2 linked regions of the Rattus norvegicus genome follow. The protein of the gene in region 2 interacts with the protein of the main gene of each other region in a biochemical or structural test. Links are inferred from orthologs where the notes say so. Each region holds a gene or a part of one and is shown on either strand. Other genes may lie near its edges.

Region 1 (4,319 bases), on a different chromosome or scaffold from region 2:
ATATCATGAGACTTTTTAATGTCATGTAGATAAATCTCCTTTTTATTTATTTTTTAATGTAAAATTGACTGGGAAAGAGGTTTTATAGCAATCATCTCTTCAGGCAAAGGTAGGTCAATGAAGGACTGTTGTGTCTAGGAGCCTGGGCATGTTGTCTGAACCTGGGTTCTGAAATCTGTGCAGCAGTGGCTGTAAGTTTTGACTGTGTATACACACACACACACACACACACACACACACACACACCTCCCATACACAGCTCACAAAGGCCCTCATCCCCAACCCTTACACCTATGCTGTAGTGGGGAGAATCTGGCAAAACCAAGCAGGTTTTTGTTAGGATAAGGATATAGAGGCTTTCCACAGTAGATGGCTCCTGGTGGGCATAGAGATGGGAGGGGTTCGCTCATCTTTAACGGCCTGGCCACCAGGAGTCTGACCATGCTCCAGTGAGTATATAAACAACACAAACTGGTTTCTTAAATCTTTTTGGGGGGGCACAAGAGGTGGGGAGTGGGCTTGGGGTGCTGGGAAGTAAGGAGGATGGGATACATTATGTCAAATTCCCAAATAATAACAATATTATGTTAAGAAGATGACTTTCCTATCCCTTATTTTACTCCTGAAGTTTCTACTCCTTCCTCCAGGTGGTCTTTCTGGGAACAATTTTATTTTTAAATTTCTCTATGAATTATGGCCATACTTCACTCTCTTTCTCATATTCAGGTGTCCCTCTTCAGGTACTACTTGACTTGGATGGTTCGGTCATTTATTTTATTTTTTCTTTAAAAGTAACAATGCCCTGAGGGAAAGGATCAGGGGATCAGAAGATAAAGAGAACAAAAGATAGAGACGATACAGTTTAGGATCAGGAAGTCTTGCTTGCACACCTATGTCTTATACCAAGCAAGTGTCTTTTAAAAGTATAGTATCTTATATACTAGGACTGGGGAGAAGAGGAGATAGAGTCAGCAGAAACTATCATACAATGGGACAAAGTCAGAGGGAAACTAATCAACAATGTTGCAGAAGGAAAACAGGTTATCTCAAGAACATTACAGACTGAGCACACAGAGGCCTTGGGATTGATAATGCCATCTCTTCAGGGGAAAGAGCCAAGTCCCAGGAACAGAAATCTTAATACTTTCAAGGCTCCAGCCTCAGTCTCAGACTGGTATTGACAGGCACATTCTTAGACAAAGAAACAGAAGTAGGTTCATTTTGTCTTTTTATCAGGGGCCCTGAGAAAGCCTTAGATTAGCCCAGCTCCCAGTGGGGCAGAGTTGGAATGGGGTGGAGACAGAGTCTCTGTGATCCATGACATTTGCCAGCTATAATTCACTCTGTCCTCTCTCTTCTCATAAGCCAGGTGGATTGCTACCCATCAAGACACTCAGCCACCACAATACAGAGTGAGTACACCTGCCGAGGTAGGACCGATGGCCTTAAGGATGTGGGTGGGTGGAACATAGCCCCTAGGCAATCTGCAGCCAAGGAACCCTATGAATGAGGCACAATGCAAAATCCTAAACTTAAGACGTTATGGGGGGAAAATGGTGATATTCTCTCTCTCTCTCTCTCTCTCTCTCTCTCTCTCTCTCTCCCCTCTTGTAACTCCATTGCATGTTGATCTTTGCAGCCCCATGGCCTAGCTTCCTTCTTATCCTCTTGGAGGATAAAAGGGGACATCTTTGCAGATGTCAGCCTACTTATTGTCTCTCTCACTTTGACCCACAGCTGTTCTCTCTTAAGAACATTTTCCTCTTCTCCCACTCAGAATGGCAGCCACAATGAGGTTCTTCCCCATTCTGTGCCTGGTGCTGTTCTTCAGTCACGGGGTGGCTTCCCGCCAACGCTCCCATTCTAAGGAGAAGAAGAAGTCTAAAGAGTCCTCTGTGGGTGCTGTGGGGACTTCCCGAAGCAGAGACTTTGCCTTCAGGCTCTACAGGGCCTTGGCTTCTGAAGCCCCTGGTCAGAATGTTTTCTTCTCCCCCATGAGCGTGTCTATGAGCTTGGGTATGCTCTCCCTGGGGTCAGGCTTGAAGACTAAGGCACAGATCCTGGAGGGCCTGGGCCTCAGCCTCCAGCAAGGCCAAGAGGATATGCTCCACAAGGGCTTCCAACAGCTGCTGCAGCAGTTCAGCCAGCCTAGTGATGGCCTCCAGCTGAGCCTAGGCAGTGCCCTTTTTACAGACCCAGCAGTACATATCCGGGACCACTTTCTGAGTGCCATGAAGACATTGTACATGTCAGACATGTTCTCTACCAACTTTGGGAACCCTGAAAGTGCTAAGAAGCAGATCAATGACTATGTAGCCAAGAAGACCAACGGCAAGATTGTAGACTTGATCAAGGATCTTGACAGCACCCACGTCATGGTGGTGGTAAATTATATCTTCTTCAAAGGTAAGCCTTAGGCTCCAACTTGAACTTTCTGTCTTTTCTCTTTTCTGTTTTTATTTTTATTTTTTATCATAAGATAGCATTCCCTCCCTGATAAAAGAGCAACTCACCCAGGTGCCAGCTGGGTGGAAGGAAGGCAGCCCCATGTAAGACAGAGCATCCTTATTAGTCTGTCGGTGATCCAACAGTCAGGAGCTGGTCCTTGTCATAGCCATCATGACAAAACAACCCTAACTGTCAAAGCCACTAGAAACAGGATAAGGACCTGATCAGGATTAAGAGGGCAGGAAACAGGAGGGGGTCAAAGACTACTGAAAGCAAATGTCTGTTACCATGCCAAGACACAATGGTCAGGACAGATTTTTTTTTTAAAGGACCACTTTATTGGGGCTGGTTTACCATTTCAGAGTCTACGACCGTCACAGTAGGAAGCATGGTAGCACACAGATAGGCATGGTGCTGGAATAGTAGCTGAGAGCTTACGTATGATCCACAAACACTCAGCAGAGAGGGAAGGGGTGCTGGTGTGGGTTTTTGAAACCTCCAAGCCCACTCTCAAAGTCATACCAATATGTGCTGACGAGGTCACACCTCTTAATCCTTCCTAAAACAATTCAACCAACCAGAGATAAAGCATTCAAACATATGAGACTGTGGGGGGTGGGCATTCTCATTCAAACCACCACAGCAAGAGTTTAGGAGGACAGGAGGACAGGCACATTAAAGGTTCAGGATACCCCAGAGTTATGAGGGGATTTGGCCTCTGAGTTATGGGTACTGCTGTTGCTGAGGTTGCTCTGTAGAGACACTCTTTGGATTGTCTCCACTCTTCAGTCACAGCCAAGGGTCTCATTTTTACCCAGTTCTCTTTTACTCCTACCCCTTGTTCATCTTTAGCCAAGTGGCAGACGGCCTTCAGTAGCACCAACACCCACAAGATGGATTACCATGTGACTCCCAAGAAGACCATTCAGGTGCCAATGATGAACCGCGAAGATATATATTCCTACATCCTCGACCAAAACATTTCCTGCACGGTGGTGGGGATCCCTTACCAAGGCAATACATTTGCTCTGTTTATTCTTCCCAGCGAGGGCAAGATGAAGCGGGTAGAGGATGGCCTGGATGAGAGAACGTTGAGGAACTGGCTTAAGATGTTCACAAAGAGGTACTCTCTGGGCCATTTTGGGGGCACGGCCTTCTACCCATGTCAGGGGAGACACACTCCAGGACCTCATAGTACCGGTGGGAAGGACTCCTCAGGCAGTGAGATAGCCCCAAACCTAAAGGCTTCCCATGAAGTCTTCAGCCCAGGACCTGGCCCAGCTTGAGGGATAAGATGCAGAAAGCTGGGGTTCTAAGGTGACACCAGAAGCCTAAGTGATTTTTTATAGTAGAGAATAGAGTTTAATAAGGGCATGGGGAGAGGAGTTAAGAGGGTAGTAGAGACAGAGAAAGGCAGAGAGAGAGAGAGAGAGAGAGAGAGAGTAGAGATGGCCATGAGCACTGGAGGGGGGGGAATGGGGAGAGAAGGAGGAGCAGGAAGGAGAGGACAGAGCTAGAGCAAGAAGGCAAAACAGCAGCCTAAGTCTAAATATGAAGCAAGGGACGCTTCAGAGATGAAGGTTCCAGAAAGTCTGTGAGGCCACAGAGAGTGGGTGCTAAGGACTTGTCAGCAAGCTCATGGTATCTAAGAAGGGACCTCCTTCTCTCTCCAGACAGTTAGATCTTTACCTCCCCAAGTTCTCCATTGAGGGTACCTATAAACTGGAAAAAATCCTCCCCAAGCTGGGCATCCAGGACATCTTCACCACCCATGCTGACTTGTCTGGCCTTACTGACCACACCAATATTAAGTTGTCTGAGGTGAGTTTATAAGCTCCTGAGCATCTAATTTCAGAAGTTACCATCCTGTC
Region 2 (4,296 bases):
CCACCCCACCTCAGAGGCCTCGAAGCCCTAAGACCACAAGCTGCACAGACAGAAGCTCAGCAGGAGAGTGACAGTGCAGTCTTCCATAGGGAAGGAGAAAGGGACGTTCTTGGGGTGGGCCGGGAGGGTCAGAGTGAAGAGACAAAGGGATGAACGTACACGAAGCAGTGTGTGGCGCTGGCCACCCAGCAAGGACTGATGAGGCTCCCACCACATTTAAAGGAGGGAGGGCTTCCTCCCTTATTCTTCAGGTAGATGGCTGCAAACCAGGGCTGGTTCTCAACGACAGTGAATTCTCCCCCAACGATCTTGAAGCGGGGCCTTAGAGCCTTCTGGCCACACTGGAACCCTTGTTGGTCTACAGTAGAAGAAGGCTTTTTGCCTAGAAAGGAGAGAGATACATGTTTGGGGGAGAGACAGCAAAGATGAAGATCTCCGGGGCAAACCTCACTTCTCATCCCTCCTGTGGTGACAACTCTTGTCTCTTTGTGTGTGTGTCCACACCGTTGTCACAAGCAGCCGGTGATACTCACTGAGAGAGCAGTCCTGCACCATGCATTCTTGGACAAACTGCTTTAGGCCAATTTGCACATAGCACCAGGGTCGCCTCTGGTTGTCGGGGTTCCTGGTAACACAGGGGATTGGGAAGGTCATTCCAACCCAGACTGTCTTCCCTGCATCCTCCCTTCCAGCAAAGGCTCAACCAGAGGTCTGGATTCTTGGGCCAGCATTCCCGTCTCAGTGTACCAGGTGCTGCTGACCTAGGTCTCTAAGAGGCCACGGCAGAGGGAGGGACGTTGTTTTTAACTTGTATAAGTGTTTCCCTGTATTTATGCCAGTGCATGCCTGCCCAATGAGGCCAGAAAAGGGCACTGGGTCCTCTAGAACTGGTGTTAAAGACCGTCATGAGCTGCCCTGTGGATGCTGGGAATGGAACCTAGGTGCTCTGGAAAAGCAACCTGTGCTCTTAACTGCTGAGCCAACTCCCTGTCGCCCCTGGGAAGGATTCCTGGTACTCAGTCATCACCTACCTGCAGTAATTGTGTTTCCCCAGGCCTAGGCTAAGAGCATCGGATCTGTGAGCATTGTAGGTTTGCTGAAGGACAGCGGGTGAATTCCAGGCCAGGCAGGGCCGGCCTTTGGTGTCAGTATTGGCCTTTCCTCGGTAAGATTGACCATTTCCATGATAGCAGGTTTTTGATGTATCTAGAAATAATTTGAGGAGTACAGAGTATTAGAAGAAGGAGGAGGTTTGGACAGGCATTTCAGAGGTGACATAGTTTTGGACCTGTCAGGTGACATTAGGAAGATCCACCCGATCCACCCTTTCTTCACACTTGTATGGCCACTGCTTCATGAGACTCTGCGTGCGAGTGTGTGTGTGTGTGTGTGTGTGTGTGTGTGTGTGTGTGTCCCAACTTCTGCTGCCTGTTTTAATTTATTTATTTGCTTATTTTATGTGTATAAGTGTTTTTCCTGCATGTATATCTGTGCACCTTGTACATGACTGGGACTGGAAGAGGCCAGAAGAGGCCAGAAGAGGGCATCGGATCCCCTGGGACTGAGGGTGCAAATGGCTGTAACCCACTACTGTGGGTGCTAAAAATCAAACTATATAGAAGAGCAGCCAGTGTTTTTAACAACTAAGCTTCAGTGTCCCCCTAAGTGCTGGGCTCACAGACCTATACCACCAAACCCAGCTTCTCCCTGCTTCTGCACCCCACCCATCTCTCCCTGTTCCGAGATCTCTGGTCCTCCACCCTGCCCCTCCCCACCCCAGCTTCCAAACTCCCCCATACCTATCTCACAGTGCTCCCCTTTGAATTTCTTTGGGCAGCTGCATCTTCGAATGCTGGAGAAGTACTTGTAGGACACACATACTCCTCCGTTCTGACAGCCACAGTTTGCTAGCAAATGCAAAGAAAGGGTAAACAAGGATCAAGGGGGAGCCAGCCTCTGAGCAGGGTGGGGGGCAGCCTCTGAGCAGGGACAGGTCTCTAAGGTTTCTCCAGGATGTCTGTGCAGCCAGCTATTGTGCAAGGAAGCAGATACTCACATTCATCAGAAGCTCCAAGTTCACTGCCACCCTGAAAGAGAAGGTAGGGGTCATCAGAGGTGACATGCTCTAGGGAGTCTGGGTTCAGGATAAACAGGTCCTGACCCCCACGCCCCATTCTCCCACCCCTGTCTGTCTCTCCCCATTCTGTTTATTACTAGCCAGTCCTACAAATGAAGGCCATGGGTTTCCAGTACCCAGACATGGATTGACTCAAGCAAACCTCACACAAACCAAGTGCCTTGGGCTAAGGCACTCCCCGTGGCTACCACCTCCCTTGCCAGAAAGTGCAAACCTCTTGGGGTGCCCAAGCCCTCCGCTGACACATTTCCCATTTCCTGTGAAAGCCTAAACCTGTCTTGATGCCTAAGCTCCCCGTGCATCCCCTCTTTTGTCCCGATGCTGCTTAAGGGGTCCTGCGAGCCCCTTCCTAAGCTGCCAAAGCAGCGAGACCACTCACTTCAGAGTGCGCCACCAAGGCGCAGAGGAACAGGCTCGCAAGCCAGACTCTCATGGTACTGACGCTGGGCTCTCTCTAGACAGCAGTTCTGCAAAGGAAGGAGAAGTCAGGGCAAGAAGAGCAGCTTGAAGGTGGCAGAGTTACTACAGGTCAAGGGAAGACACTTCAGATCCCCTGCGGGGCGCGCCAACAGGGACCAAGCTCCCCAGGTCAGGCAGTCTCTCGCGTCTGGGGCTCTGAACCTGCACAACAGCACCGACCCTCTCTGTAGAGGGGAGCAAAGGGCTGGAGTAGTGAGTGACCTTGCCCACAGTTCAGCCAACCGAGGTAGGGGGAAGGGAAGGCATGCAGGGACCCTGGCTGCCTCATCCCGCCAGCCTTGCTTCAGACCAACAGCACTCACCGGTGACTGCAGCGGAAGGGCGCCGGCAGACACGCAAGGACTGGATTGATGACAGACGGTGCTCTGAGGCTCCACTCACTGCTCCGCGCTGCTCGCTCTTTAATAGGGCCCGCCCGGGCCCGGGCCCCGCCCAGGTTTGGTGGAGGGCGGCGCTCTCTCCCTTCTTTTCCTTTTCCTACATCCCACCGCAACTGGACAGCGCTTGCTTCCCGACTTTGACGAAGTCATGGGATTTCCAGCTGACCAAACTAACGCAGTCTAGACTGAGGGACCCAGCAGCTTGTGCATTCTTCCATTCTTTCATTCACCTAGTGTGGCCCCAATGTAGCGTGGTGACGGCGCTCCAGACATGGGCTTGCTGACCTCAAGCCTCTTCCTTAGTGGTTTAATCAGTTCTTCTCCAACCTGTCCATCTTTGACCCCCTACCTGCCTACGACATTGATTCAGATGTCTTTAGAGGTGTATAATTCACAGTTCCTAACCTACTCACAAAGGTTCCCACATGTCAAATGCTGAGTCCCCAAATATTACTAACACAACCAGTGAATCAGAAGACAAAAGTGAAGTTTGTAGTCAGGGAGTGTTAAGGGTGTCATCAGAGGGTGAGACGCAAAGGTCAGATTTTATTCAGACTTGCTGCTTGGTTTAAGGCTAGTCTTTGAAAGATGGTTTTAGAAATTATGGCATGGGGGGTTGGGGATTTAGCTCAGTGGTAGAGCGCTTGCCTAGCAAGCGCAAGGTCCTGGGTTTGGTCCCCAGCTCCGAAAAAAAAAAAAATTATGGCATGGGCCAGACATAATGGCATACCCTTCAATCCAAACACTAGGGAGGAAGAGGCAAGTGGATCTCTGTAAGTTCAAGCCCATCCTAATTTACATAGTGAAATCCTCAAAAATAATTATGATTTAAAAAAAAACAATAAAGGTTACTATCTGATAGGATTGTAGGAGCAAAGTCTTAGGACACCAGCTGCTATTGGCTGGTTGAAGTGTCAATGGGTCTTTTGAAAAATTCCTATAATAAATGTATTTGTCTGGGGAAGAATACTACCAAGGAGCAGCTCAGAACAGGACCGAGTGCAGATCTCAGTGGAACTATGGTTGCACACAAACAAAGATAAACAATCAAGGGAGGGGGAGTCTTTAAGATTTATTTATTGTATGTATATGAGTACACTATAGCTGTCTTCAGACACACCAGAAGAGGGCATCGGATCCCATTACAGATGGTTGTGAGCCACCGTGTGGTTGCTGAGAATTGAACTCAGGACCTCTGGAAGAGCAATCAGTGCTCAATCAGGAGTCTTAGTGTGAACAGTAAATTGTGGCAGGATAGAAACAAAAGGCAAGGGAGTGGTCAAACCTCGTTAATGTGGG

The links.
Region 1: the proteins of Plau (region 2) and Serpina5 form a complex in vitro, tested with the Homo sapiens proteins (2 studies listed by BioGRID). The link is inferred for Rattus norvegicus from reciprocal best matches to the Homo sapiens genes PLAU and SERPINA5.

What each region holds. Positions count from the first base shown.
Region 1 is NC_086024.1:128,786,772-128,791,090, forward strand, and holds the start of Serpina5 (plasma serine protease inhibitor), read left to right. Parts: upstream 1-1,309; 5' UTR 1,310-1,317; coding exon 1,318-1,412; exon of another isoform or gene 1,413-1,430; intron 1,431-1,737; exon of another isoform or gene 1,738-1,777; coding exon 1,778-2,406; intron 2,407-3,300; coding exon 3,301-3,571; intron 3,572-4,121; coding exon 4,122-4,269; intron 4,270-4,319. UniProt on the Homo sapiens protein: Heparin-dependent serine protease inhibitor acting in body fluids and secretions. Inactivates serine proteases by binding irreversibly to their serine activation site. Involved in the regulation of intravascular and extravascular proteolytic activities.
Region 2 is NC_086033.1:3,509,041-3,513,336, forward strand, and holds the start of Plau (urokinase-type plasminogen activator precursor), read right to left. Parts: upstream 2,948-4,296; 5' UTR 2,920-2,947; intron 2,605-2,919; 5' UTR 2,571-2,604; coding exon 2,517-2,570; intron 2,088-2,516; coding exon 2,057-2,087; intron 1,908-2,056; coding exon 1,800-1,907; intron 1,207-1,799; coding exon 1,032-1,206; intron 626-1,031; coding exon 534-625; intron 383-533; coding exon 160-382; intron 1-159. UniProt on the Homo sapiens protein: Specifically cleaves the zymogen plasminogen to form the active enzyme plasmin.